Linked DNA regions of Pelodiscus sinensis. The protein of the gene in region 4 interacts with the protein of the main gene of each other region in a pairwise test. Links are inferred from orthologs where the notes say so. Each region holds a gene or a part of one and is shown on either strand. Other genes may lie near its edges. The genes, in order: CBY2, EDARADD, ASL and NTAQ1.

What was found.
Region 1: the proteins of NTAQ1 (region 4) and CBY2 interact in binary tests that used the Homo sapiens proteins (3 or more experiments, as listed by UniProt). The two-hybrid records come from large-scale screens. The link is inferred for Pelodiscus sinensis from reciprocal best matches to the Homo sapiens genes NTAQ1 and CBY2.
Region 2: the proteins of NTAQ1 (region 4) and EDARADD interact in binary tests that used the Homo sapiens proteins (3 or more experiments, as listed by UniProt). The two-hybrid records come from large-scale screens. The link is inferred for Pelodiscus sinensis from reciprocal best matches to the Homo sapiens genes NTAQ1 and EDARADD.
Region 3: the proteins of NTAQ1 (region 4) and ASL interact in binary tests that used the Homo sapiens proteins (3 or more experiments, as listed by UniProt). The two-hybrid records come from large-scale screens. The link is inferred for Pelodiscus sinensis from reciprocal best matches to the Homo sapiens genes NTAQ1 and ASL.

Annotation. Positions count from the first base shown.
Region 1 is NC_134711.1:287,239,101-287,246,658, forward strand, and holds the start of CBY2 (protein chibby homolog 2), read left to right. Parts: upstream 1-4,548; 5' UTR 4,549-4,716; intron 4,717-6,958; exon of another isoform or gene 6,959-6,961; 5' UTR 6,962-7,101; coding exon 7,102-7,558.
Region 2 is NC_134713.1:127,271,708-127,278,774, forward strand, and holds the start of EDARADD (ectodysplasin-A receptor-associated adapter protein), read left to right. Parts: upstream 1-4,047; 5' UTR 4,048-4,183; coding exon 4,184-4,214; intron 4,215-7,067. UniProt on the Homo sapiens protein: Adapter protein that interacts with EDAR DEATH domain and couples the receptor to EDA signaling pathway during morphogenesis of ectodermal organs. Mediates the activation of NF-kappa-B.
Region 3 is NC_134731.1:20,065,366-20,073,324, forward strand, and holds the start of ASL (argininosuccinate lyase), read left to right. Parts: upstream 1-4,944; 5' UTR 4,945-5,031; intron 5,032-5,169; 5' UTR 5,170-5,207; coding exon 5,208-5,219; intron 5,220-7,959.
Region 4 is NC_134712.1:19,804,316-19,811,592, reverse strand, and holds the start of NTAQ1 (protein N-terminal glutamine amidohydrolase), read left to right. Parts: upstream 1-4,276; 5' UTR 4,277-4,728; coding exon 4,729-4,811; intron 4,812-5,807; coding exon 5,808-5,907; exon of another isoform or gene 5,908-6,007; intron 6,008-6,809; coding exon 6,810-6,860; intron 6,861-7,277. Other genes in the region: ATAD2 (ATPase family AAA domain-containing protein 2), read right to left, coding at 1,482-1,703. UniProt on the Homo sapiens protein: Mediates the side-chain deamidation of N-terminal glutamine residues to glutamate, an important step in N-end rule pathway of protein degradation.

The DNA.
Region 1 (7,558 bases), on a different chromosome or scaffold from region 4:
TTTTTAGTTCTAGATGTGTTAGTTTGAATTAGCTTAGTTCGAATTAACGTTGTAGTGTAGACGTACCCCCCTTCTTAATCTCTCTGCCAGTGTTAAGATCTCCATTTCACCAGGCTATTCCTCCTCAGTGTGGCAGAGGCTTTAAGAACAGACCTGGTTGTAACAGGGCCTTCATGGGACACCACTGAGAACACCAAATTCCAGTCATACTGCAGAAATAAAGCCAATACACCTCAAAATGTTAGTGGGCATTGTGCCAGAAAATATATCAAAGCAACTGCAAAGAGGGAAATTTCTGTTTCACCACACTGGCTAACAAGATGTCATAAAAGCAGTTCCTGAAGTATTCCTAGCTTTGTTTCACACCCCGAAACACTGAATTCAGAGATGAGTGGTTCTGTGCAACCAGCCTCATCAAAGAAAAGGTTCTTCTGAGCCTCTCTAAGGACCAGCCACACACCCAAGTTAATATACAATTCACATCTTACCCCAAAATTACACTGTGGCTAATCCTGTAGAAAGAAAGCATAGAATCAAATGAAATAAAATCTTAAATGATCCAACTTGTAACATAGAATCTGTATGGGTAGTAATTCCATGCTCAGATCATTTGAATATAGCAGTAAGGACATATTGCTGACCACCTGATTAGCATGGTGATAGTGACTGTGAAATGCTTAAGAAGATTGGAGAATCTATAAAAACAAAATACTCAGTAATAATGGAGGATTTCAATGTCCCCTTATTGACTGGGTACAGGTCACCTCAGGACAGGATGTAGAGACAGTTTCTTGACATCTTAAATGACTGTTTGTTAGAGTAGCTAGTCCTGGAACCCACAAGAGGAAAGACAACTCTTGATTTATTCCTAAGTGGATCATAGGATCTAGTCCAAGAGGTGAATATAGCTAGACTGCTTGGTAAAAATAGCGACCATAATTTACTTACATTGAACATCCTTGTGGTGAGGAAAACACTCCAGCAACCCGACACTGTACATTTTAATGTCAGAAAGGGGGCTAGATAAAAATGAGGAAGTTAGTAGAATAGAAATTAAAAGGTACGGTGCCAAAAGTGAAATCTCAGCAAGAAGCATGGAAACTTTTAAAAGATATCATAATAGAAACCCAACTTAAATATATACCCAAATTAAAAATTGTAGTATGATAACCAAAAAAATACTACCAGGGCTAAATTAAAGAAAGTAAAAGAAACAGTGAGAGATAAAAATGCATTCTTTAAAAAATGGAAGTTAAATCTTAGTGAGAGAAATAGAAAGGAACATAAACTCAGGCAAATGAAGTGTAGGAATATAAATAAATAGGAAGGCCAAAAAAGAATTTGAAGAACAGCTAGTCAAAGACTCAAAAAGTAATACAAAAAAAATTGTTAAGTACATCAGAAGCAGGAAGCCTGCTAAACAACCAGTGGAACCACTGGACAATCGAGATGATAACAGAGCACTCAAGCATGATAAAAATCATTACAGAGAAACTACATGAATTATTTGCATTGGTTTTCATAACTGAGGGTGTGAGAGAGATTTCCAAACCTGAGCCATTCCTTTTAGGTGGCAAATCTGAGGAACTGTTCCTTTAGAAAGGATTTTGGAACAAACTGATAAAATAACAGTAATAAGTCATCAGAACCAGATGATATTCACTCAAGAGTTCTAGAGGAACTCAAATATGAAATTGCAGAATTACTCACTGTGGTTTGTAACCTATCCTTTAAATCAGCTTCTGTGCCAAATGACAGGAGGATCACTACAGAGGTGATCCCAGCAATTAGAGTCCGATAAGTCTGACTTCAATACTGGGCAAACCAGTTGAAACTATAGTACAGAACAAAATTATCAGCTATATAGATGCACTTAATTTATACTTGGTAGGGAAAATTCAATATGTTTTTTGTAAAGGAAAATCATGCCTCACCAAGCTATTAGAATTCTTTCAGGGGCTCAACAAGCATGTGGATAAAGGGGATCCAGTGGATATAGTGTTCTTAGATTTTCAGAAAGCCTTTGACGAGGTCCCTCACCAAAGGCTCTTAAGCAGAATAGCTGCCATGGGACAAAAGGGAAGGTCCTTTCACAACAGCCTTCCAAGAAGAGCAATAGGGACAAAAAACCTTGTTTCAAAACTGAGCTTGATAAGTAGGGCTGTGAAGTGATTTAAAAAAATAGCTACAATTTTTTCAAGGCTAAATTCCAATAACATTGATGTACTTCAAGTCTGCAGTACCTTTTACACACTACACAAGCTTTCACCTCCAGTTCATATGCTACACATAACCCAGTGACAGCAAATGAAGCTTGCCAGCCATGGAAGAATATGCTTACAGAGTTTCAGAATGGGTACAAGCCCATGGATCAAAGTACAACAGCTTAACCAGTGCTATTGAAAAATGGGTAACTATGAACTACAGAGCACTTACCATGGAAAATGACTGAGGTCTAAGAGGTACTATCCAAATTGCATCTGCTAATTCGACATACCCTTGCCTTCTCCAGGAAACATTGAACCATGAATGTATGATCTATGTCACAATGAGAAGAGTACAAAGTTGGAGCTTCTGAAAAATGTACTAGCTGTTGCTTTGACTGGTGATCACTGGGCATCCTTGAGCAATCACAGCTCTCTTGGAATCCTAGCACACCTGGTTGATACTACCTGGACAGTGCAGCCATTTGCTTTAACAGTAACGCATTCTGAAGAGAAACATTATGCTGAAACATTCATAGGGCATTTTTTGGATGTTGTGAAAGGATGGGATATTCAAGAAAAGGTAACAACAATTAGTACTAACAGCGTGATCAAAACTGTAATTCATCTTGATTAATTTTTTAAATTGTGATTAATTTGTTTTGTGTTAATTGCTGACAGCCCTAATTTGTACACTGCTATCCCAATTCACTTGTGTCCTTTTCAGAGCAGAAGGAATTCCTTGATATCCCCTGTAACTCCTTCTGATCAATCAGTGTGCCAGGAACATAGACAAAATAGGCTACAAATACCTTGCTGTACCTCCCCCCAATTAACCAATTCTGGAGCTGATAAAAAGCCCTTTGAAGTGTGTTTTAGTTTTTCTATTGACTTAAGATCAGGTATGCTCAAGTCTTAAATTCTAGAGTAGCATATAGAAAGGTGATTCATTCACACCAGGTTGTATAGTTAGGAATAAAGGCAGGAAAATATGCAGAAAAATTAAGAAAAGAAAAACATAAAACACAACAAAACTTTAACCCTAGCAGTAATTATGAATTCAAAAGAATCAGGTTTTTCTCTTTTGATCAGTACTTGTTACTGGATTGTTCTTATCTTCACTAACTTTGGCTCTAGTATGAGCCCTAACGCTTTTCTGCTTTAGTATATTGTACACCCTTGATTCTCCAGGCATTGAGAAGGATCACCCAATTCAACGGTCATCTTTCCTAAAGCTCCCTACAACCAGTAAGTAAACTTCAACCACCCCCTTCTGTCAAAGGACAAACTCTCTTCAAGAAACTGATTTTCCTGCTCTTCACTGTAGAATACTTGAATAAGAAAGTAAACAGAATGCTCTTCAGGAAGTTGCCATAGTGATTAGTGATGCTTTAGTGTTGTCTGAGATTAAATAGAAATGGGAAGAAATTACAGTGAGAATTTGTATGCCAAAGTTTATCATCCTTCCATAATTCAAAAATTGCTGAACTGTTTACCTACAATTTTTCTAAAACATGAACAACCACATTAGGGCTAAGGCCAAGTTTTCACTTGGAAAGAAATTAACTGTAGTGTTTGCGACTTAGGAACACTCAAATTAGAAAACACTTAATTCTACTTTTAAAGATGCAGCAAATAAGAAATAATAAGAGAGAATTAAAAATGGAAAGATGTGGAAGTGCAAATAACTGCTTTGGATAATGGCATTGGGTGTAATGCCCAGATACTCTCAGCAGTCTATTTTCTTGTTAACAAGAATTGACAATGTCCTAGTTCTTTTAATTTGGAGTCAAAGAAAAACACCAACCTCAAAGTTAATTCTGGAAAATTACTCCAGGCCTCGTACTGGATAAAAGGGAGGTGTTTTGTTACCTTTAGTGTCAATTCAGTAGTGGTCTTAGTCTGAATATCGGGGATGGAGCAAATCATGTTCTATAAAAAGAAAGTACAGTACTGGGAAAATAATTCATTTTAACTGCCCCTAAGATCATACATGAGGAGAGAAGGCAAAAGAAGAACGTGGTTTGGGAAGGAGCTTGAGAATTCTCTACTTGATTTGTTATAAGGAAAAAGAAGTAACTTCTATTCACATGTGACTTAGGGATCTGAAAAAACCCCAGATAGTCTTCAGAGATTATAGTGGGAACAGTGGAGGCTAAGTCATGAGAATATAATAATAGGAAACCTTTGATGAGAAACACTTGAGAGCCTACTGAAGTTTAACAGGCCTGGGGAGCAGATGCCTTTCATTTACATCAATTACACTGTTACTCTGGATGTACTTAGATACTGTCTATGTCATAAAGGGGCTTTCTTGTTACATGCCTCAGTTTGAAAAGCATGGTCCTGTCTCTGGCCATGCTGAAAATCAGTTTTGAGCAGGGAGAGATCGAGGCAGCTTCTGGCATTTGGCCTCAGCATTGGATACACTACAGTTATAAACCAGCTGAGAGTTTGGAGAAGATAAAGACAAAAGAAACAGGACATCACTAGAATTATATTTTAAACAGAGGTGAGCAGATGTACCCACTATTACTGTAGAATACTAGTCAACTTGATTTTTAGCTAGCTTTGCTCATGTAATTGTAGCCCCAAACTGCATAAGGACTGTTTAATACAGATCTGAAAGAAAATGATAACTGAGATTAAGAGAAATTAAAAGGCTTCTGCAAGGGAGAAAAGATGGGTATGGTTCACCACTTGACATTATTCAGGTTTTACATTGATGTAATACCATGGAAATCAGTGTAAAACTGGAGTAACCCAGTAATAATTCAATCCCATGTTAAATGAGATTTGAAAAGAGATGGAGAATCAGTGAGACAGAGAGACACAGAGATAATAGCAGTAAATTTGACACGGACATTTAGTATATACAGAAGATTCATAGATTCTTAGATCCCAAAGCCAGAATGGACAACTGTAATAATCTAAGATGCCCGCCAGTATAACTCAGGCCATGGAATTTTCCCTAGATAATTCCTGGAATAGATCTTTTAGAAAAATATCCAATCTTGATTTAAAAAGCATCAGCAATGGGGAATCCACTCTGATCTTTGGTAATGTGTTTATGCTACGCTATCGAAAATTAGTCAGAATTCAACCCCCTATCTTTCCTCTGATATTGAGATCATCTTATTAAATGATCCATTAGACAAAAAGCCAAGACTCAACTCTTAGCTGATACACACAAGGGGTCAAATAAGAAAGCTGAGGCCTATACAAAATTAAGAAAAAGAAATAATGTATAGAAATGAAACATGCATTAGTCACAGATTTAGAATCAAGCATTTATTAGAAAAAAGATTAAACAACCTTAGAAGTCAAAGAAATTCCTGTAATTTATGTGGTAACTGTTGATAGTCTTAGTGAAGGAGAAACCTATGGGGGGAAAAGGAGATAAAAGAGATTATGTGAAAGATGCTAAATTATTGGAATCTTTTCATTCCCAGATATCATCACAAGCACTTGACTATATTGCTTCAGTTAACAGTAATGTAAAGTCTAGTAGAATTATGTTAGAATTAGCTGAGGAAAAGGTTTTAAAGCCTACAATAATATCTGGCCCTAAAAAGGGTTTAACTTACCCTAGACATAAATAAAAATTATGAAAGGTTGTGCTGAGAATTTGCTTGCAATAGCCAGACATTACTAATCCCACAGCTCCGGCTTGACCACAGTGATGCTCTGGGCTCATTCTCAAAAGACAAGCTTGTTCTGCTGCTGACAGAGGCAATTATTCTGATCTCAGTTCCCACTGGAAGCAGCAATACAGACCACTGAAAAGTTAAAAATGAGCATGTTTTCTTTTTCTTGAGTGCAAAGAGAACTCAGTGTGCTACGTGTGATTTTTAGAACTTTCTGGAAAAGGCCAACATTTTTAAACATTTTGGATGTTTAAAATTAGGTTCCTAAATCCACATGCTGGCACCTAAATATAGGTGATCCATGTTTTCAGAGGTGCTGAGCAGCCCAAGCACTCACTGTGTGCAGTGGCATTTGTGAGAGCAGAACAATTCTGAAAACGAGGCCATTTATATTAAGATGCCTATGTAGGGTTTTACCCATTTCTAGACTCCCACTTTTGAAAATCTTGACAACGTTCTTTGTGAAATCTGTATCATTCAGAGCTCTACTGTGAAATGAAAGGAAAAGTAATGTGGTGAAGAAACCTTAAGCTGGGCAGAATGAGTTCTTGCTACAGATATAAAATCACACTTTATTGACATAAACCTACACTGTGACTTACAAACTTATAATGAGAGATGTTCCCTGCTCTAAAGGGCTCATAAGATAAGACAGAGTTCATCAAGAGGAGGTACACAGGATCTGGAGAGTAGAAGAAGATGAGGTTTACTAGTGAATTTTGAAGGTGCCATGAGAGGGACTGCTTGGATTGGCAGTAGAAGAGACAACCTTTTATAAGATGCAAAGGAGAGACTGAGAGAAGGAGAGGAAAGGAGAAAGACTAAGCAGACTGGGAGGAATGCACCAACAGAGGAGCTTCAGGAGAAAATGAGGATAGAGGTGTTGGATGAATCTGTATTGTACATAAAAAAGCTAGTAGATATAGGTTGTTTTAGTTTAGCTAATGTCTGTAAAATCATTTTCATCCAACATATCCATTCAATCGAAGGCTTATCACAGAATAGACTTTGGAAAATAGATTTATTTGCTGGTTTCTTGTCCAATTGAGTTTAGTTCTGTCTTTGAACTTCATAACTAATCCTATTTATTTGTGTTCCCTATTCCAGCAGTTCTGAGTGAGTGTCTCTGCAGACCCCTCACTAGCTACTCATCACCAAGAACAGCAATTGCCTGCATAACTTCTGAAGAGAGTCTTTTCACACAGACTTCTTCACTTTGCTAAGTCATCCCCACATTTGCTTTTGATCCAATGAATCACTTTATGCATCAGGCAGAGCCTGACATGGATTATATTGCCCCTCGTGTCAAGCTAAGTGACGAGACATTTGTCTTTGTAGATGGCAAATGGGTGAGTGAGACCTACAATCAGCCACCCTTTGCTTACCAACAGAAACATTTCAGCAAGAAGATGCAGAAAGACTGGACTCTCTGGGAGGAGAACAAAGCACTCTGGGAGGAGAACAAGGCCCTTCGGATTGAAAACAAAGCCCTCCGGGAGGAGAACAAAGCTCTCCAGTGCCTACGGACACAGAACAAAGCCATCCAGGTTATTTATGATGACACCCTCCAGCAGGTTCTCCAGAAGGAGCACAATCCTTTCCCAGTCTTCCAAGAAAGGAACATAGGCTTCCAAGAGAACAAGGCCCTTCAGGTTGTTCAGGAAAAGAATATGGCTTTACAGATACTCCACAAGGAGAACAAAGCTG
Region 2 (7,067 bases), on a different chromosome or scaffold from region 4:
ATTAGATGGTTCCTCAGTTTCTTTGAGAGCGTGTGGCACAATTTCTCATTGTAGTTTGTGTAGTATGTTGATTGTAATGGATTGTTCACTTTCAAGCCAAAATTCATCTACTTGCACTTGGAAAAGAAGATGATGTCTGTTTGAATCTATGCAGGTTTCTTCATGAAACTGATGGGTTTCCACTTCGTGCAGTGTCTTGAATGGTAAAAAGTCTAAAAGGGGTATCTGTGTTTGTAACTTTAAAAACAACAAGCAATCCTGTGGTACCTCAGAGACTAACAAAAATATATAGTATCATGAGCTTTCATGGGTAAAACCCTTTTCATCAGATGATTATGAAGCAGAAATTACACCGATAACTTACCACTGTAAATAACTTTATTTGAGGGATCAGGGAATATATTTAGATCGTACAGTGTGGTGTAATATATTTATTACAGTTCCTATCTGCAGTGTTATATTGTTTTATGTGCCGGAATATACAGGCAGTCCCCAGGTTACATGGATCCGACTTACATCGGATCCCTACTTACAAATGGGGTGAGGCAACCCCGCACTAGCTGCTTCCCCACAGCAGACCAGGGAGACGCGAAGCTAGTGCCCCCCCCCCAGCAGACCAGGGAGACGCGGAGCGGCTTTTCTCAGTAGACACCTCAGCTTGAGAATAAAGGACTGAGGGAAGTGAGGTGTGGGAGAATAAAACTGAGCTCTGGAGAAATGTTTGGCTAGAGTTTCCCCTACAATATGTACCAGTTCTGACTTACATACAAATTCAACTTAAGAACAAACCTACAGTCCCTATCTTGTATGTAACCCGGGGACTGCCTGTATATCATACTAGCACAGTTACCTAGCATTGCTCGGGTACTCTAGGAGAGGCTCAGGTCCGGGGCTGTGTGTGGGGTGTGAGGAGCAGGAGTGAAAGCAGGGGAGGGCTCGGTGCAGGGCTGGGGGTTACAGGAGTCAGGTGAGGGATTGGGGGGGCCTTGCTACACAGCTGCCATCTCCCCAAAGCTGGCCAGTGGGTGCACTGGCTGGACAAAGACTCCATGGGGCTGGCAGAGCCTGCAGTGTCCAGCTGGATTCTCCCCTAGGGTTGCCAGATACTTTCAGAAAAAATCCTGAACATTGCGGGGGAAAGATTGGTTGAGCGGGAAAACCAAACCAAACCAAACCAAACCAAACCAAACCAAACCAAACCAAACCAAAAAAGACCACTGGGGGACCAAACTTTGAGGGGGAAAAAGAAAAAAAAAAAAAAAAAAAAAGGACCTGTCAGACACAGCAGGGGAAAAATGTCCCTGCTGGCCTTTCTTCCGAGAAAAACAGAAAATACCTGTATTTTCTGTTTTGTTTTTTCACCAGACAGAAGATGCAATTACCGGACTATCCAGGCAAAAACCGGACACTTGGCAACCCTAGTCTCCCCAAGGCTGGCCTGGGCAGTGGAAGCCACCAGGTGCCACCCCCAGCTGGTCACTTTGCTCCTGCTCCCTTTCCATTTGATTAGAAACAGTCGAATTCCAGGCATACCCCATCGTCCTGACCATAGGCGTGCACAGCACATTTCATTAGGGTGTGCACCCAAAGAATTTTTTAAAAAATGTACTTTGACCCCCCCCCCCATTAGCCACACCCCTGACCCCTGTTAACCACGCCCCTGACCCCCATTAGCCACGCCTCTGGAGGTAACCCTCTCCGGGCAAGATGGGCACATGACCAAAAGTAAAAAGTGTTATGTGACTCCTCCCCCCCCCCACAAGGACTTTTCCCACCATCCTCCTACCAATAGGGATTAGTTTGGCCCCCCAATCCTCCCCTATGCAACTATCCTGCAATTGCATTAACCCAATGTGTGTGACATTAATACAGAGGTGGAGAGGCTGGGGGAAGTGTTCTCTCTAAGAATTTCCTCCCATGAGCAGAATGAATTTTGTGTTGTGCACCAGTACTGAGTTCCTGTGGCTTGTTTGGATGTGCCATTGTGGCACCCAAGTTATTAATAAATATCGTATAAACCTCTACCTTTTCCCTCTGCTGCCATGTCTCCTCCCCTTGCTCCATCAACTCCACTGGTGCCTGCTCCCCCCACAACCCCTCACCCTCCTCTGCTGTCCTGACTCCTGCCCTTCTCACTGCCCTCAGCCTTCCTGAGACCTGCCTCTCTCCACTAGCCCTTCTCTCCCCCCTATGCCCACTATTCCAGTAGCCCCACTCTGATCATGTGAGCTACCCCTCCTCATCCCCTCTCCTAACAACTCCCTCTACACACCTGCCCTGCCTCTCTCCTCTGGTGCTGGTCCCTCCCCTGCAGATGTCTGCCCTTCTGCTTCACCCCCAGAATTCCCTGGCACCTGAACCTTCCTTTACTCCTGCGCCCTCCTGGTGACTCCCCCTTCCCTCACTGCCCCTGCCCCCTTTGCCCTTTTTTCCTGATGCCCATCCCCTCACCACCATCTGCCCCATTCCCCTCATGCCCCTGTGCCCTCACATATGACTTGCTCCAACCCCACCTTCCTCATGCCCTCCCCTTCTGTCAAGCCTTCTCCCAGCACCTCCCCCTCCAATCCCCAATGCCCTTACCCTCTCCTCTTCCAGAATCACCCTGTACCCCCTTCCACTGACACCTCCCCTCCTGCCCTTTTCCTCATTGTCTCCACTTCCCCCTAGCATTTGTGTCTCCTCTACCCTGTCCCTTTGGTGCCTTCCCCTTTCTTCCCCCTCTCCACCCCCTCCGTACAAGCCCCTTCCACCTCTTCCCCTTTCTTCCTCCTCCACCCTCCCCCACCACAAAAGCCCCTTCCTCTCCCACCCCTCTCTCTTATTCCCTCCCCCTCCGCCTTACCTTCAGCTTTTGCCTTACAGCTTGCAGGGCTGGAGTCAGAGCCAGCCCAAGCTGCAGGGCCGGGGTGGGGCACCCCTGGGGTGCTGCGTGGTGCAGCAGGGCTGGGTGCTGCCGGGATGGGCGCCATGTGGTGCTGCCGGGATGGGCGGGGGCACCCCCAGAGCGCAGCATGGTGCTGTAGGGCGGGGGCTGGGCTGCAAAAATAGCTCAGGCCACCATCTGTAGTCGGGCCCCAGCTGCTTTTGGAGCTGGGCCACTGGGTTTTAAAGTTCCCAGCGTTTCCCCTCTCACCTGTTGCACGGCGTTTGAGGACGCCACGTATGCGCTCTCTCTGCTCCACAGTGCCCACTTAGATGGCTGTGGGGAATTTAAAGTGAGGAGCTGTGGCGCTTCGTCACAAATCCCCCTCTTCCTCCAGTAGCTGCTGGCTGGTCCCAGACATTAGGGTGTGCCTGGGCACACCCCGTGCACACGCCTATGGTCCTGACACAACCAAACCTCACCCTTGCTTTAAGTTAAGATAAAAGGAAGCTGCTTACCAAATTTGGTGGTCTTGCCATGTAGGAGGAGTTTTTGAACAAACAGAATCACAGATGGACACACAGAGAGACGCACATTTGGAAAATAGATAGTCAAATTAACGCAGATACATTATGCTTTTTAAAAAAAGCAACTATACATTTATTCATTATCTTCACATAACCGAGAAAAATGAGTTGGAATATTAAATGCTCACATGTATTTTTTATACACACACATATGTCCGTTTTTATAACATGCATACTTTTGTACACAGAGACTCTCTCTCTCTCTCACACACACACACACACACACACACACACACTTACTTCTCCTGAATCTAATTTTGATATGTATACATCTAAAGAAAACCCAACTATCTATAGGGGAGAACGAACATTGTCGCTCATTATAGAGGAAGAGCAAACTCATGCACCTGAAAATCAAATAAAATCCGCATGGGTTTAGATGAAGGCTGAATGAGAGTTGGTGGCAGGGGAAAAGCCTCTCCAAGGGACGGCCCAGAACCGGGGGCAGGGGAGACACCGCTCTCTCTCTCTCTCTCTCTCTCTCTCTTTCACACTCCTCTGCTAGCTTTCAGCCTCAGCTCTACCTGCAGCTTCCGCTCCCCAGGGAGAGAGCCGCGACTTGCTCAACACCCAACCAGGAAGTGGAGAAGAAAGAGGGAGGCAGTAGCGCCCGCTCGGATTTAGGGTGGGGGTTGCCCGGCCGGCCTAGAGGGGATTTTCCAGCTCCACACACACGCTCAGCCTCAGTCTTCGCTGGGCACGGCTGCAGTCTCCCCTCGGCACCCACCCGATGGCTTCTCTCCAGGACCCTCTGCCTGCAGGTAAAGTGCCCCGAGCGGCGGCTGGGAGTCTGGGGGCGTGTGCGCGCCGCCAGGGCGGAGAGGCAGCTCTGTGCAGCCGGGGCAGGGCTGGAGGAGAAGGAGGGAATCTGGAGTCTGTGGGGAGCTGCGGGAGGGCGGCTAGGCTGGTCAGAGCCTCCTGACCCTGCTCAGGGCCGGGCGGCTTTTCTGTCTCTCTTGAGATGCGAGTGGAGAGGGGGCTCTGCGTCTGGCCCTGTGTGTTTGCTTCGTGCGCCTGGCTGGGTTCTCTGCGCACAGCTGATCGGTGCGAGGGGCTCTCCCCACCACTCTGGGGATGGGATCAGTGCTCGCAGATTTTCTCCCGAAGGAAACTAAACCATCTTGTTCGTCTTCAAAGTGCTACATTGTCCTGCATTTTGCTTCAGCTACCCCAGACTAACACGGCTACATTTCTATCACTATTTGCCTATTAAAACTCTCAAGCTAGACAAATAGTAATAGGGAGGGAGCCGTGTTAGTCTGATCTTGCTAAAACAAAAGGAAAAACTATGTAGCACTTTAAAGACGAACAAGATGGTTTAATAGGTGATGAGCTTTCCTGGGCCAGACCCACGGAAGCTCATCGCCTATTAAACCATCTTGTTAGTCTTTAAACTGTTACATAGTTTGTCTAGCTTAAACAAAAGGAAAAACTAAGCTCAGCAAGCAGCCTTGTTTTTGAGGTAGGCTGCCCCAAGCCCTCCTCCTCTCCCAGCACTGTGCATGAAGGAGAGCTTTGGAAGAATATTAAAAATCATTCTTTGCATTTGCATAGTCTCTGAGGACCTGAAGGTGTTTGGTGATTCATATGCTCAGACAAGAATAAATTAAACCTGGCAGCACCCCTGAAAGGTACAACACAGGCTGGCTGTTACAAAGAGGTCCAAAAAGTTGTCTGCCTCAGGGAACTTTTGCAGATTCTAGATCTTGCAGTATTAACATTTTAAACTATATTATCAGTTTTCTGGGAGTTAACCAAGGACTCCTGGCCTTGTCTGGACAAGAAGGGCTGGGAGTCGTCCCCCCCCCCCCCCCAATTGTGCTAGCTAACAGTTTAGCTTGTTCTGAGCTGGTGGAATTTAGCATATGCTGAAATACACCTTGTCTGTTCTAGAGTTATAATATAGACTAGTTTGTGCTAGCTAATATGTGCTAACTCCCCCCCCCCCACACACACAAATCTGTTTTATTCTAGTCAAGGGGTTCTCAAACATCATTCACCACAACCACTTACTGACAAGAAAAACTACTTTAGGACCCCAGGAGGAGGGACTAAATCCTGAGCCTGCCTAAGCCTCACTGTCCCAGGTGAGGGGGCCAAAGCCTGAGCTCCACCATGAGGGTGGGGTGGGGTGAGGGGGAGCAAAGCAGAAGCTCAAGGGCTTCATCTCCAGGCAGGGGGGCTTGTAACTTGAGACCTGCTACCTAGGATTGAAAGCTTTTGGCTTTGGTCCTGGGCAGTGTGGGGCTTGGGATTTGGCCCTGGGTCCCAGCAAGTCTAAGCTAGTTCTAGAAACCCCAGTCAAAGGGGGTTGCAACCCATTTTGGGGTCCTGGCCTACAGTTTGAGAACCTCTGTCCTAGTCAAACCAAAGTTTGAGGAAGTGGTGAAGGTTAACATTTTCAAAGTTGATGAGCACTGACCTTTAAAATAGGCTGTTGAGTTTGACTATTTCAGCTTCAACAACTTCTGTCCAGTCAGTGGCAGAGTTTAAACCATTTGTAACAAACTGAGAGATGTACTACCAAAAGTAAACAGGTTAATCGAGAGGCAGAATATAATGCACTGTAGTATAATTGTACATAATGCTCCATTGTGTTTATTATGGTCTTTGCCTGATCACAGCCTCATTGTTGATTAGGGTAATATATCACCAGGCTTGTCTATTTGTACTAGTCTAATTACACTGAGATTGTTTCAGTGTAACTAAGTGGGGCTTACAACACCAGTGCAGTTTAATTTGATAATTATGCTAAGACAGTGTAACATTTACTACCTGCTAGTGTAGACATTGAAGTAGTGTAGGTGAACAAAACTTGAGCTCTCTCCAACACAGAGACCGTAGGATTTCAAGATACCAAAATTACACAAGCTATTGGGCTCAGTGCAGGAGTAACTTGGAGAAATTCTATAGTCTGTGTTATACAGAAGGTTAGACTAGATGATCTATAGGCCTTCCTTACCTTAATATCTTTGAAACTTTTAAAGTTATGGGGATTTCAGTGAAAAGTACTTGGAGATATGTCACTTCCTTTCCTCTCCTTTGACTCTTACTTCTCCAGCTGTGCAATATGACTCATACAGTATTTTGTGACCACACTAATTTTAATTGCTTAATTCGTTGTTAAATACTACAAGTTTAACAAAAAAAAATATTAGCAGGAAGAAAGGAAGGAGGTATGTTTTCAGATTATATTTAAAACTAAGGAGTCAGTGAGTCAGAAAGACATCATGGAACTGATTCTCTGGCTTAGTCTACACTACACTTCCCTCCTCCCTGCATTGATCTATCCTACACAACTTCAACTACACAAATAGCATAGCTGAAGTCAACGTACTTACCGCAGTGGCTTCTATGCGGTAAGGTCAGCATGGGGCTGCTCTCCTGTCGACTCCAGCTACTCTTCTCATCCTGGTGGAGACTCTAAGCAGATGCAATAAAGCTATTGCCATGACCATAACAGCACCCAATACATTCCTTATATTTCCAGCATGGGTGGTGTAGATTTCTATGCCAGTTCTACCAGCCAGAAAAACTCTCTGAGCAAAGCTGGGAGGCAGACAGAATTGCTGGACCCTTGGGCAGGGTGGGGCAGCTCTGCGCACCCAGAAGGG
Region 3 (7,959 bases), on a different chromosome or scaffold from region 4:
TATTTCATAGAGGGATAAGGGATCTTTCGGAAAAGGCTTTATTTTCCGCAAGATCAGGGTCTAGACTGGCGCTTTTTTCCGACAAACCTCCGTGCGGAAAAAAAGCGGCAGCCATTTTTATGCTAATGTAGTGGGGGAGATTTAAATCCCCGCTGCATTAGCAATTGCGATATGTCTAATTTACATCCCTTTTATGAAAAAGGGATGTAGTCTAGACGTAGCCTATAGGTACATCTACAGAGCAGCATTATTTCGGAATAACAAAATACACGTGTATTCACCAAGCTATTATTTTGAAATAATGTTAAGATGGAGGATTTCTTACTCCAACTCCTGTAACCCTCATTTTACAAGGAATAAGGAAAGTCGAAGTAAGAGTGTTCTTCCTTCGACTTCCTGTTGTGTAGACTGCAGCAAAGCCAAATTAAACTATTTCAACTTCAGTTACGCGATTGACATGGCTGAAGTTGGGTATCTTAATTTGACTTTTGCTCTGCTGTGTAGACATACCTTACGAGAAAAAACATTCGTCAGCCAAAAAGCTATAGTCAAGAAATAGTAAATTTGTGACCTGAATGTACAAAAGCAAGGGCAGTTAAGGTTCAAATGTCTAGAATGTTGGTGCAATGAAATGCAGTGAAATAATGTTAAATGTGTCCATGCTGCTGGATGGACTGCCTGTGTATCTGATATATAAGTTTAGAAAAGGGTGTAGCACAAAACCATCAATAAAGGGTCATGCTCCACTCTCTATCCCCAGTGAAGGATACAGAGTGCAATGCTCAGACACTGCCATTCCATCAGGACCAAAGAAGTACCTTCCATTTAATTCAATTAATTTTCTCATATTTAATTATTTTAAATCATAGGATCATCGACCTTGAGAGGTCATCATGTCCAGTCCCCTGCACTCACAGAAGGACCAAGGTACCATTTAGATCGTCCCTAACAGATGTCTGTCTAACCTGCTCTTAAATATCTCCAATGATGGAGATTCCACAACCCTCATAGGTAATTTATTCCAGTTTTTAACCACCCTGACAGTTAGGAAGTTTTCCCTAAATGTTTCAGTGTCGTTGGAACAAGTAAAAGAGTGAAAGCATAAAATGTAAGTGAAAGAAACTACAAAACAGCATGAAAAATAACAATTCTTAGTGACTGATCATCCCCGTTTTGCGGTTCTATTTCTCCACTGCCCCCTGCAGTCTCTACTCCTTAGCTCAAAGGCACTCTTAGGAATCCTTGCTCATTGCCTGTCCCAATCTCCACGACATCTGTTTTGACCTCCAATTTCCTTTTTGTTTTCTGAAGTTTCCTTGTTTATCACTATGAAAAGGGCTATTATTCAGCTGTCCCATCCAGGAAAAGTAGGACAGAGGATTAATCACATCCTAGAGACATCCTATATGAATGTAATAAACTAGAAAAAAACATCACTGCTAGTGGCACCAGGACCCCAGTGATGGATGCATGGAAATACCTGTGAGCATGAGATAAATAAAGGATTATTTTTTATCATTCACCAAAGGCACTTTACTTGCAAAACTAGATCACCTGGGTTTTGTGCTAGGGCATGTAAGTGGGAAAAAAACATAAAATAAATTCAGATAAAATGCATATGGTGACTAACAACAATTTGGCGTCAATCCTGACCCAATAGATGTCCATGGAGTTTTAATATTGACTTAAATGGGAGCAGGTCCAGTCCCTTGATAACTCATGGAAAATAAATTTTATATATATATATATATATAGTATTAAATCAATAGATAACCAGTATCTGGTTCCCATATGAGGGGAATGAGCACCAGTCCATCTTTCACTTTGGGAAAGTCCTTCCCCACATCTTAATTTTGCAGAGAGACACTATCCTTACAAGGATTGTGTACATTCTACATAACTGGTCTTGGGGTTGTGCAACAGGTATGGACACACAAATATGTCTTCTTTACACACTTCATCTTGGTTATAAGCAAATCGTGTACTGGCTGTTTTGCAAACACAACAGCAACCCCTCATTCCCAAACTCAACATAAGGAAAATACCTCCCTAAAGTGAGAACAGGAGGAGAGGAGAGGGGGAAAGGAGAGAATTGGGAAAAGGGAATAAATAGTGGGATGGAGACAAGAGGGGATGAATGGAAGGAGAGGCTAGACAACAGGAAAGGACCAATAAAGAAAACAGAGAGATCCCAAATATTCAGAGGGGAAATGAAAAGAAAAAAGAACAAAATCACAAGAAAAGAGATGAGAAAAAATAATCTGCTGGGAATTTGATGACAGATTTCCCTAAAGATTAGTTTATGCTATTTCTAGAGTCATTTCAAAGTCTTTACAATGTAATGAGCAGGGCTCGACAAATCCACTTGCCCATGGTGAGTAGATTTTGGCAGCTGGTGAGCTGTGACGGGGCGACCCCCATGCTGCACGGGGAGTACGGTGTTGTGACAGCAGTCTGCGCCGCTTGCTCCCGTATGGCCGCCCAGCTGAGCGGCATGCAGCGGGGGTTGAGTCCTGGGATGGGAGCTGGAAGCAGGGGCGTGGCCGCACGCGGGCGTAGGGTGGGGCCAGAGTGTGGGTGTGTCCCTGACGTCAGGGGGAGAGGTGCCGGCACAAGAGAGCGCCGCATTCAAAAGGAGAGCAGCGGAGGAAGGCAGAGGGGATGGAGGAGAGTAACGGAGGAAGAGGGGAGAACAAAGGAGTGAGCTAGAAGATGGTGGTGGACGGAGTGAAGGGTGAGAGCGGAGGGGACGGGAGTCAGAGGAGGTCAGAGAAGGCAGGAGGGAGACGGGGAGTGGAGCAGAGAGCAGAGCGTGGGAGCAGAGGACGTGAAAGGAGAAATGGAGGTAGGAAGCAGCCCAGGATGGGGCTCCTTAGTGTCTCCGCTCTGGGCTGCTTCCTTCCACCACTTCTCCTTTCATGTCCTCTGCCTCCACGCTCTGCTCTCTGCTCCACTCCCTGCTGTCTCTACACTGGGCCACTTATTCCGGAAAATCAGCCGCTTTTCTGGAATAAGCTGCGAGGTGTCTACACTGGCCCTTGAATTTCCGGAAAAGCAACGATGCTCTACTGTACAAAATCAGCCGCTATTCCGGAAAAACTATTCTGCTCCCGCTCGGGCAGAAGTCCTTATTCCGGAACACTGTTCCGGAAAAGGGCCAGTGTAGACAGCCCCGTAGTCTTTTCCGGAAAAGCGCGTCTACATTGGCCACAGATGCTTTTCCGGAAAAAGGGCTTTCCTTTTCCGGAAAAACTGAAAACGGAATAGTATTCCGTTTTAAGCAGTTCCGGAAATTCATGCCAGTGTAGACACAGCCCATCTCACTCCTCTGACCTCCTCCGACTCCCATCCCCCTCCTCTCTCCTCTGCTCTTACCCTTCACTCCTCCACCCACCGCCGTCTTCTAGCTCACTCCTCTGTTCGCCCCTCTCCCTCCGTTACTCTCCTCCGTCGCCTCCCTCCTGCTCTCCTCTGCCCTCCTTTCGAATGTGGTGCTTTCTTGCGCCGGCGCCTCTCCCCCTGACGTCGACGCACGCACACTCTGGCCCCGCCCTAAGCCCGCGTGCGACCCCGCCCCTGCTTCCAGCTCCCGTCCCAGGACTCGGCCCCCCTGCATGCCGCTCAGCTGGGCGGCAGCACGGGAGCAAGCAGCGCAGACAGCTGTCAGAACGCCGCGCTCCCCGTGCAGCACGGGGGTCGGTGCCGTTGAAGTGCAGGGTGGGTCGTCCTCACCACTGTGGAGCGGCCCCGCCTCATCACAGAAGCAAACATGCTGTCCTGGTCGTCCCATTCTCTGGGTGGTGCACGTCTGCGCGGTGGGGGTGGCGAGTCCCTTTTTTTTCTGGCGAGTAGGGTTTTCTATAATTTGTCAAGCTCTGGTAATGAGATATTACATTGTGATGTAACTAATGTACATCATAAAAAAGTCTCAAATAGCTGATTGAATGAAACAGAAAACAAAAGAAACAGAATGAAAAAAGAGAAACATTTGTCTGGAGAAGGAAGGAGGAGAAAGCAGTCTCTTGGCTGGTGCATTATTTAATATTTAGAACCATGTAACAGATCTTTTGTGGGGAGGAGTTCCTTGAAAATGTACTTCAAAGAAAAATGTAAAAGTTAGCATCCAGGACCCTGCTGCATTTTTACAGAGGTACATGCCAGCAACAGTACTGGTGTTTCAGCATCCAAGTACTGCTAGGTTATGCCTCAGTCCTCCTAAAAGTCTAAAGGCTAAAAAGAGCCACTCATCAAGAATAATGCTAGGCAAACAGAGAATTGGGACCTTGACATTATCCCTGCAATATCCCCAGCAACTGGAATTAATGAGATTGTGAACACACCGCTGGAAAAGACCTATTAGATCCCATATCAGTCCTGCTTGTCAGGCCAGTAGACAGGAGCGGGTAGTTGTGGATTGATCTCTACCAATAGGTACAGAATGTAATGCAATTTGCAGGGATATATCTCCAGCTCGTGCAATGGTTAATGCAGAAACATTTTAAATATGCTAAATAATGAGCTGAGAGCCCAAACGCCTGTCACTGAAAGAAGCAGGGGCACTGCGCCCTGTTGGGTCCAGGACAGCGAGGAGACAAGGGCAACATGAGAGAGGCAAGATTTCCAGCCACACGCTGAAAAGCCCGTCTCTCTGGCAAGCAGGAAAAGATTCCTCGCCCACCTGGCACTGGGGAAGACCCCAGAGAACCCCGCGCTTGCCCCCAGCAGGAATCACGAGCCTTACAAGTCACACGGTGCGCGGGAGGGACACAACGAGGGAGTCTCTCCCCGCCCCATGGAGCAGCCTCCCTACAAACGGGCCGGGCCGGGGGGGCCGCTCGGAGCACCCAGCTGCAGGCCTCCGTGATGCAGCCGGTGGAGCAGCGGCCAGGAAGCAGGGCGGGCGGAGCGGGGAGGGAACCTCCGGGGTATTTCCAGGCGAGGCGGGTTCAGCCCCGCCCAGGGGAGGCGTGGAGCGGCCGGCGGCGTGAAAAGCAGCCGGGGCGAGCGGAGCGGGGGCGAGCGGCCAGGCAGGTGAGCAGCGCGGGGCTCGCCCGGTGCAGAGCGCGCGCCGCGCCCTGGGGCTGCAGCTGCCTCGCGCGCTGTGCGGGGCCCCCCAGCAGCGCGGGGTGTTCCCCCGAGGGGCCCAACCCGCCTCTTTCTGTCTTGCAGGGGGCGCGCGCCGCTGAGGTGCCGAGAGCCCGTCCGACATGGCATCCGAGGTGAGCAGCCCGCACTGTGGCGTCCCCCGCAGAGACCAGGGCGGACCCTCCCCAGGCAGAAACATCCAGCTGGAGGGAGCTGGAGTCAAAAACCTTGCAGCCCTCCATGTAGTGGGGTGGGGGGGGGTTTCTTCCCATAGCAAGACTCCTGTAGGGAGGTGGGCGCTGCCCTCCTGGGTATGGCTCTTTGGGCACCCGCTGGTAGAGTCGCTTGCCCAAGATGCCCCTCTGGGCACCTGCTGCCCCGTCCAGGCATGTCTCTGTTAGCAAATCACACCGGCTCCCGCAGCGGCAAGTGCTTTCCACGTTCAAAAATTGCCCACAAGGGCTTCTTGGCCTTATCTGCCATTGTGCGTAATTGCTATCCTGATCTGAAAAGCAGCCCTACCTGTCAGAATGTGCTAGACTTGCTTCTTCCATCCTTGGCCCAATGTAAGAAAGGGGTAAGACAGTGAATTTTGACTAGGGGAGAAGCCCGTATAAAATCTATTATGAAATTCTGTGCTCTTTAAAAGATAGATGAGGAAAACTGTTTGCACATTCATAGCTAGACTTTTTTTTAAATTGCTTGCAATAGGGATTTGGTTACTTCAAGGCTGTGTCTAGACTGGCCAGTTTTTCCGGAAAAACTTGCCAGCTGTCTACACTGGCCGCTTGAATTTCTGCAAAAGCACTGACTTCCTACTGTAAGAAATCAGTGCTTCTTGCGGAAATACTATTCTGCTCCCGTTCAGGCAAAAGTTCCTTTTGCGCAAAGCTTTTGCGCAAAAGGGCCACTGTAGACAGCTCAGATTCGTTTTCCGCAAAAAAGCCCTGATCGCAAAAATGGCGATCAGGGCTTTTTTTGCGGAAAAGTGCGTCTAGATTGGCATGGACGCTTTTCCGCAAAAAGTGCTTTTGCGGAAAAGCGTCCGTGCCAATCTAGACACTCTGTTCCAAAAATGCTTTTAACAGAAAACTTTTCCATTAAAAGCATTTCCGGAAAATCATGCCAATCTGGACGCAGCCCAATTGTCTTGTTTTATGGCTGAATATATATAACTAGAACTTGAAACAAAACATGTAGATATCATTCCCCTTCACTTGTCCTTAGTACAAAATTTAATGAGGAAAAATTGTGTCTACTCCAAAGGTTTTCTAAGATCAGGTTGTGTAATTGTCTTGGTTTGATGGACAAAATGCCATTCGTTTGAGCCAGGAGCAGAAAGCAGTGTGATGGCAAAATCTAGGTCAAGATGTGGGCCTCATACGGCCCACAGCCTGTTTTTGTGGCCTGGGATGCGGTTTGGCTTTATGCAGGGCTCAACATGCGGCTTGAGGGTGGGATCCTTTGAACTTGGTCTCCACTGAGACACAGTCCACAACGGCAAGGTGTCTCCTAGGCAGAGTGAGCATTGAAAGATGCAAGTGGACGGGCTAGCTGGAACAGATGGGTACAAGGTGTTGAAGTTTCTAGCCCCCAGGGAGGTGGTGTCTGGAGCACCAGGGCATTGTGTGAAAAACTATTTGCATGTACAGGCAGTCCCCGGGTTACATGGATCCGACTTACATCGGATCCCTACTTACAAACAGGGTAAGGCAACCCCGCACTAGCTGCATCCCCCCAGCAGACCAGGGAGACGCGGAGCGGCTTTTCTCAGCAGACACCTCAGCTTGAGAATAAAGGACTGAGGGAAGTGAGGTGTGGGAGAATAAAACTGAGCTCTGGAGAAATGTTTGGCTAGAGTTTCCCCTACAATATGTACCAGTTCCGACTTACATACAGATTCAACTTAAGAACAAACCTACAGTCCCTATCTTGTACGTAACCCGGGGACTGCCTGTATATGCAACCAGACTTAAGCTGCGGCCTTGCCCTTGTCATATGCTGTGACTATCATTGTGGCCCCCAGGGCTTCCAAAGTTGAGTAGCCCTGATCTGGGTGGTAGTGAAGCTGAAGTGGTGCAGAATTTGGCTGACAAAATTTAGAATTAAAAATGATTGTATGAAAATAATGTTTTAAAAATCTCCAACTATAGGCCCTATTTCTATCATCCTTACAAGGCAAAACTCCCTGGGACTTTACTGGGTGTTTTGCCTCCATAGGGACTGCACAATGTTTGTGCATCAGGGATTGGTAGATATGTGGAGACAGTCCTTGGGGAAAGACTTGCTCAATAATGACCCCACTAGCTGATAAAATAATGGCACTGATTAACTTGAAACTGGGACCCCATCCAGTCTGCTGCCAGAGAAGATGGCTGTGATGCTTGAAAGGAAGCAAAAGGGGTATGAGAAATAAATTAGATGGGCAAAAGTATCAATTTAACACCATAAACTCTACTACAGGCACTTCGTATAAATGCTTCCGAATCACTCCTCTTGAGTGCGAATAGCTGCTTTGGAAAATTATTTTTTTAATTGTTAGGACACACCATGGAGTTTTTACGCAAGCAGCAGACCAGACCCCCTCTTTGACGTCAGTGGGAGTTTTGCCTATGTAAGGATTTCAGGAATGCGTTTCATGGGATCAAATGATATGTTGCTATTTGCTGATGAAGCAATGCTGTTTGTGCAAATGCATGGTGAAATAGGTCACACACGGGTTCATTCATTTGAGTGAACTGAAGTTCACTTCAGAAGGGTGCCCAGAAAGACTAGTGTAATGCCATGCTCCAATGTTAAATTTATTAATGCAATGGATTTACACCAGGGTAAATTTTGACCCATTTGACTCACCTGTAAATCCAGAATAATTGT
Region 4 (7,277 bases):
TCTGGGATCCTCCAACTCAGAAAGTATTCATAGTGGAGTAGTCTACATCCCCATAGAAACAGGAGGCAGCCCAGATCTTTATTCAGAGCCCAGGTTTAGGACTACTCCCCAGGAAGAACATTTTAGAATAGAGGTGGACAATAATTTTTGAAGGAGGGCCATTTCACAAATTTCTGAAATGGTTACAGGCCAGGAGACTTCACATGCCCCCATGCCCACAGACCCTGATCCCTTTAAAACACTTAACTCCCAAAAGTTCCTTTTGGCACAGATCTCATACTTACTCTGCTGGGCAAAGTTTAAAATTTAGGTCTGTTAAAATTTAAATTATGCAACTATGAAGCTTTATGACTACTGTGAAATTAACTGAAAAACATGTTGTTTTGCATTTCAGAAGTGACATGTACATACATACACCTTCAGTTGGAATGTCACGTAGACCAGAAATGTCCAGACTGTCATTTAGTAGTTAAATAGATTTGAACATTTGACTTTCATATACGAATTATTTTCCTACAAAGTTGAAGTTATAGAGTGGCATTCCCCATGGTTTTACTGTGGATATGGAAACATTTAATGGATTCCAGAGGAGTTAACAGAGGGACAGATCTGTGTGGAGCATTTTGACCTGGTTTAACTTTCTAACCAAACGACTTTCATTGCTCCTTTCTAGCACTCTACAATTTTATGCTTCAGCAGGTTCCATCATCGTGTAAAGACATGATCTGCCCTCACTGATTTGTTTAAAGTGTTAACTGAACTCTAATGACTGCAGTTAACAAAATTTTAAGCTTTATTATGTGTTAATCTGCACAATCCACCTCGGTAATATTTCATCGTTGTAGCCTTGGCCTCAGCTTTTAAAAAGATGAGTTATCTCCTGAGGTAACATTAACTATCCTGAAATCAAACAAAACAGTGGCCGCAAGGAGATAAACAGAGCCAACCACAGTAAGAGAGTTATGACCTCACCAAGTTACATCAGAAAGAGTGTAAAGCGCTGTCTCACCTATGTTACTTATCCCCGCACTTAAAGCCACACAATTTTAACCCTAAGGGCCAGGCTCTGACCCTTAAACAGTAGGTGAGCAGGAGGCTCTGGAGCCAGCCCTTGGGGAGCGACCACAGCTTCGCGGTTACTCCGGTTACCAAAAGCCAGAAGGAGCCAGGGGCAGAGACAACCCCAGAATAAGGAAGACGAGTTCGACGTGCCACCACAAGCTCCCTCAGCCCTCACTCTGGCTGGCTCCCTACTCCGCCCAGCACCAGGGGGTGGAGTTTAGCAGGCCACGCCTCTATTTTTTTGCAGGCGGGGTGGGGTCACCCCTCTCGCCCGCGGCCAGGAGAGCTCAGCTCCCCCTCCCCCACCTAGTGCGCACTGGCAGCGCCCCTCACCACGGAGGCCAGTGCGGCGGTGGGGTTCTCGTGCGCTCCAGGCGGCATCCGCCTCGATCTGCACAGCCAGGCTGCCCTGTACTCACGTTGCCCGCTGCTGACGGCGCTCTCCTGGCTCCTCTGCCGCACTTGCTGCCGGAGGCGGCTGTGGCCGAGCGGGTGCCCATCCTGCGGCTCCGCGGCGCGGGGGTCAAGGACAGGAACTCGGCACTCGAGTCCATCAGGTCGTACAGGGACGCCTGGCTGCCCCGGGACGCGGCAGACTGGAGCGGACTGCCGCTGCCCGTGCTGCTCCGTAGCATCACCATGGCCGGAGCTGGCGCGTCCCCGGCTGAAGAAGGGGGCGGCGGCTTCTCTCCGAATTCTGGCGCCACAAACCGCGGGCTGCCGCGTCACCGCCCTCCCGTCGTATCCCTCCGCCTCTACCTCTCATTAGAGCAGAGTAGCGCCACTAGTGAAATACGGCACCCGCTCTTACACTCCTTCGTTGACTTTTCGGCCAGCCCGAGGCGGACCGTTCCGTCCGGTTGTCTCTTAGGACTCTTTCTCCCTGTAGGTTAGTTCCCGAAGGGAGGCGGAGAGACACGCATAGGTGATGCGTCCTTTTGGAATTTTTGGCGCGTGCAAAGTTGGAAGACTGTTTTACCCGGCTCTGATTGGCTACAAGAAAGGCGCTCAGCAGCCCGCCCCAGTGTTTCCCGCTGAAATGGGACTGAGTCAAATGCCCGTCCCTTAAAGGGACACTGCCCGTGTTTCAGACAGCTGTTCCTCAATCACAGAGCAAGAGCCCGGCGTGGGGCAGCTGCAGTCCTTACAAGAGCCTACGGTAAAGGACCTGGCTTTTGTGTGATCTGCTAGGACCTGTGACATCTGCAGTCCAACTTTTTAATATTTGTAGCAACAAGCTCTTTTTTTAAAAAAACAAGGACCTAAAGTTAGACTCCCATTCCACTTTTTAACACCTGGATTATGGTTTGATTTTTAAAAATAGTGGACACCCCAAAACTCGTATTGGGGGAGGTTTGGGCATTGATTTAGTAAGCAGCCCATCTGTAAATTCCTTATTTTAGAAAATATTGATCTTTGGCTATCCTAGGCCCATCTTGGGGACATAACTCTAGTAGCTAGCATATTCCATCACAGGAGTGCAATAATCACATTTTGACTCCAAAATAAACTGTTTAAGCAAAGTCCTGCCCCCACTTCCTCTATTTTGCTTCCCACTGCCAGTGCAATAAGCCAAATAGAAGTTTAGAATATTAAGATTTCATTCTCTCAAAAAGTTTAAAATCATGCAAAGTTTAGCACACTTCAATAAAAAGTAAGTTGTGTGCTACAAAGCTCATAGCCAAACAGCCAAAATGCTGATGTGATCTCAGTCATAAAAAATTGAGAACTTGCTGTAGTTTTGATGTGACACCATTTTACAGAAGTGTCACGGCCTGGAAATAAATTAAGAAATGTTTTGTGGTGCTAGGGGAAAAAATGTCAAACTTTCTACACAGTCCCTCCTGAAGGTAGTCCTGCCCATTGCCAAACTATGGGGTAAGACATAATAGCTACTAGACAAATGTACAGCACTTTTGCACAACAACGAATACAGCTTTTTAATATCAAAAGTATTTTACATTATTAAACCTCCTGACTTTGTGTGGTGCTACCTGTAAAAACACTGTATAAAAGTATGCTGTTTTGTGTGTTGTATGGCCAGGAGATTAAAGTCCCTTGTGCAGCCACTGGTTTTGCCAGGGTATGCAAGTTTCCACAGGTTTTCAGGACTTTAAATGGGCTTGATCTCTTTCCACTAATTTAACAAAAAGACAACTAGAAATGGATATATTGAACTTGAAATAGCTTTAGTCTGTAAAGTGCTACTAGACTATTTCTTGATTTTTAAGTCTTTCCTGTTACAGACTAACTTGGCTATCTCTCTAAAGCCGTGGTCCCCACCATGGCGCCCGCGGGGGCATTCGTGTGCGCCCGCCACGTGCTCGGGGCTGGCCTGGCCCTGGGCACGTGGTGCACGCACAGTGCCGGAGCCGGCTCCAGGCGCATGGTGAGCGCCGGCCCCAGGGGGCGGGGATGGGGGGTGAGCGCCGGCCCCGGGGGGCGGGGATGGGGGGTGAGCGCCGGCCCCGGGCGCTTGGGGGGGGGGAGGAGGGAGCGCCGGCCCCGGGCGCGCGGCGCTTGGAGGGGGGGCGCTGGCCCCGGCCCCGGGCGCTTGGAGGGGGGCGGCGCCGGCCCCGGGCACACGGAGCTTGGGGGGGAGGGGGCTCCGGCCTCGGGCGCATGGCTATGGGGGGACCCCGCCCCCATCCCCGCCCCCTGGCGCCCAGCGGGCGAACTGCCACGCCCCCTGGCGCCCGGCAACCTCCACAGGTTGGGGACCACTGCTCTAAAGCTTATCTACTCACTGTCACATTTTTTCTGCCCCTCCTTTTTTTTCTTCTCCTCCCCCCTCCCTTATTTATTCTTGGATATGAATTTCCAACACTCTGGTCATCTGAAGAAGTGGGTTGTGCCCACAAAAGCGACATCTACATGTACCATCTACATATTTTCTTAGTCTTTAAGGTGCTACTGAACTATTTGTTGTTTTTTAAGGTTTTCCTGTTACAAACTCTGCTACCCCTCTGAAGCTTTTGAAATAGCTGTTTGGCCTTGTACATTTAAGACAAAAAATACTTCTCTGGGGATGTTTTCTATGCACTTTGAGAACAGGTTTCCTTTTCATCCCCAGCATTTTCCTGTGGCTCATGTTCAGCCTTTCCCTCACTAACAGGTGCAGATTTAATTAATCTTCCCTTTTCATCAGCTAGCCCAGCCCAGCCCTGCCCTCTTGTCAAGGCTTGTTCTGGTCTCTCCCTCCCTTCCATTGTAAGTTCAGGATCTCACCTCCCCACTCAAACCCCCTCTCCTTTGTTTTGGCAGCCTCTGGATCATCTCATTAAGCTAAAACGTCCCTTTTGCTCATCCTGACTCAAATTTTGCAACCTATTCTGGGTTAAAAAATTCCCTTTTCCCACCCTTCTGATTCAACTTGACCCCTTCTCTCCTGCCTTTGATGTAACATGGTGGGGTTTAATAGAGCAATTAGAAACTTATCTTGTTTCGTATCCAAGATAAAACCCCTCCCTCCTGCCTGCCTGAGCTCCTAGTCATAGGAAAGCACTAACATCCGGATTTCCTTGGGGGAAGAAATTGCTTGTAACTCACTAACTTCCGGCATAAACACTTCCTGAGCGAGCCGGTGCTTTATACAGCTGGGGGAGGTGTATGAGCCTATTAGCCTATTAAACCCAGCACTCCCATATCTCTGGATGAGGGTCGCATATGGAACAGACAGAAGTAGGAGCTGCAGGTTACCAGCCAGCTGTCCCTGCTCGGCATGCTTGTGTGTATACCAGCTGCTATTGGTAAGTAGTAATAGGTATGTAAGAAATGTGGCTGGGTAAATCTTCTTTTTCATTAGTCAAGGAATTAATGCACAAAGAGTGGATGTACTGAAAGTCATTGTTTTCCATTGGAATCTCCCATATTTCCATTTTTCTTTAGAAAACTTGTACATACTCTTGCAGGAGGCAAAGCAGAAGAAAATGAGGTCATAACAGCCTGGAGATAGAATATTATTTTTCTTATGATAGCATTTGATATTCTAGGAAAAAAGGATGCATTGGTTAGGACACTCATAGTACTGGTTAACCAAGATGATTGGAGGATGATTTACTGACAAATAACAATATACAAGATCATTGTATGGCTTTCTGAATAGCTTATCAGAACATAATTTATGGTTCCATTAATAATTTGTGCATCCTGTCCTATTATCAGTGACAGTTTATTTAGAATTGTGCAAAACTATTAATAGTAGTATTAAATGTTATATACACGATTATTACTTTAGAATTGTGCTAAACTATTATATATATATATATATATATAAAATTAATATGTCACTAAGATCAGATGGAAGTCTATTTAAAATTTTATATTTGTCAAGTTGTTTCATACACTTGATGACATGTATCTTTCCAGGTAAAATGTTTATTTAACCTAATTTGTTGACACTTTAATCAAAACTACTTTGCCACAAACAGTAAGGAAAAGACAAAACACTAACTATACCAATCATTTGGTATTAAAGCATGTCATGACAGAGTAAACCAAGCTATGCTTCTTGCTGTCTAATAGTAGAGCCAAAAAAACCTATGAATTATTTGTGTAAAACCTTTTTAAAGGCTTGAACCTACATTTTAGAGCTTAAAAATACATGTGTGAAAGGAGCTGGGAAAAAGTCTTCAACAGAAAAATGAATCCAAAAGTGGGAAAGTTATAACAGCCATGCTGTTTTTATTGTATAAATCAGAAATAAAACAAGAACTGGGGACAAAAAAAACCTTGTATTTTTACAGTGAGGAAAATGTTTGGAAACTTTGTGAATACATCAGAAGCTATGATCAATATCCTTTAGAAGAATTTTTTGCTGTTTTCATATCCAATGAAAGAAGGATGGTAAGTTGATAAGTTGCCTTATTGAATCAAAACCGATTTACTGTGAATGAAAGATGGATCCAGGCTAGGTTTGCCATGTGTCCAGTTTTGAGCTTTCTGTCTAGGAAACAAATTGAGAAAATACCGGACATATAAATGTCTGGTATTTTCTAATTAAGTAAGTTTTATTATTATCATGAGTAACAATACATAGTTGCATACTGCCTGGCTCGTAGACACACTCACACTGTGTGAGTGTGTCTATTGGCCAGGCAGTATGCAACTACACAGTAGAGAGGAGGTGGGTGGTGCCAGGTTGGGATGGAATCCCTAGGGCCGGACTTACCTGTGCACCCTGCCAAGACCGTGTGCGGGACGGGCAGCACCCCGGGATCTCCGTGCACCCGGGCCAGCCCCGCTTCCCGCTGGCCGGTTTCCCCTTCTCTCCCTCCTGGTCAGCCCTGCTTCCTGTAACTGGTCCCTCATCCCCAATGTGAGATCATGTATGTCCGGTATTTTTCTGAAACACTCTGGTAACCCTAATCCAGGCACAAATGTGGCCAGACCCCTGTAGCTCACCTGGGCCCCCTGGTCACACAGATATTGAAAAGAACCTAAAAGGCACGTCTTTTAGTCATGTATGGTAGTCTGTCCCTTGGGGTGGACATCTGGAGAAGTATCACCTCCCTGAGAATGGGATAGCAGGGATTCCTTTATTACTATCAGTCAGCGGAGGAGACTGAATGGTCTGTGTGATCCAAAACAATGCCCAAAGTTTAAGCTCAAAAGTTAAAAAACAATCTGATAAAAGCTTACGTGTTGCATCACAGATAAACACTAATTTTATCATCTCATATTAGACAAATTGTAGATTTTTTTTTTTAAAGCTTACTTAACATTAGCTTCTAACTGGTAATTTGCAGATACCACTGTGGAAGCAACAATCAGGACGTGGAGATGAACCTGTGATTTGGGTAAGACATTCTGGTCTATATAGATTCTTGTACCATGTTTAATTGTTCTAGTACTACCAACATGTTAAGCAATAAAAATAATCAGACTTCACCAACCTGTTAGAATTCTTTGAAGGTGTCAGCAAATGAGGGTGATCCAGTGTATGTAGTGTACCAGAACCTTCAGAAAGTCTTTGACAAGGTCCTTCACCAAAATCTCTTAAGCAGGGATGCTGAAAGCTTCTGAGGGCCTCTGGGCAAGGGGGGTGAGAGCAGTGGCTGTGCACTCTGGGAAGGGATGGGTCTTGGACAGAAGGGGTGGGGCTTGAGAAGCCAGCTCTCAGTGCCCCCCTCCTCTGCCTTCAGAGCCACCTGGCGTGCCAATTTAAAGGGAATTACTGAGCCCAGGGCAACAACTCCCTTTGCCTGCTCTTAAGC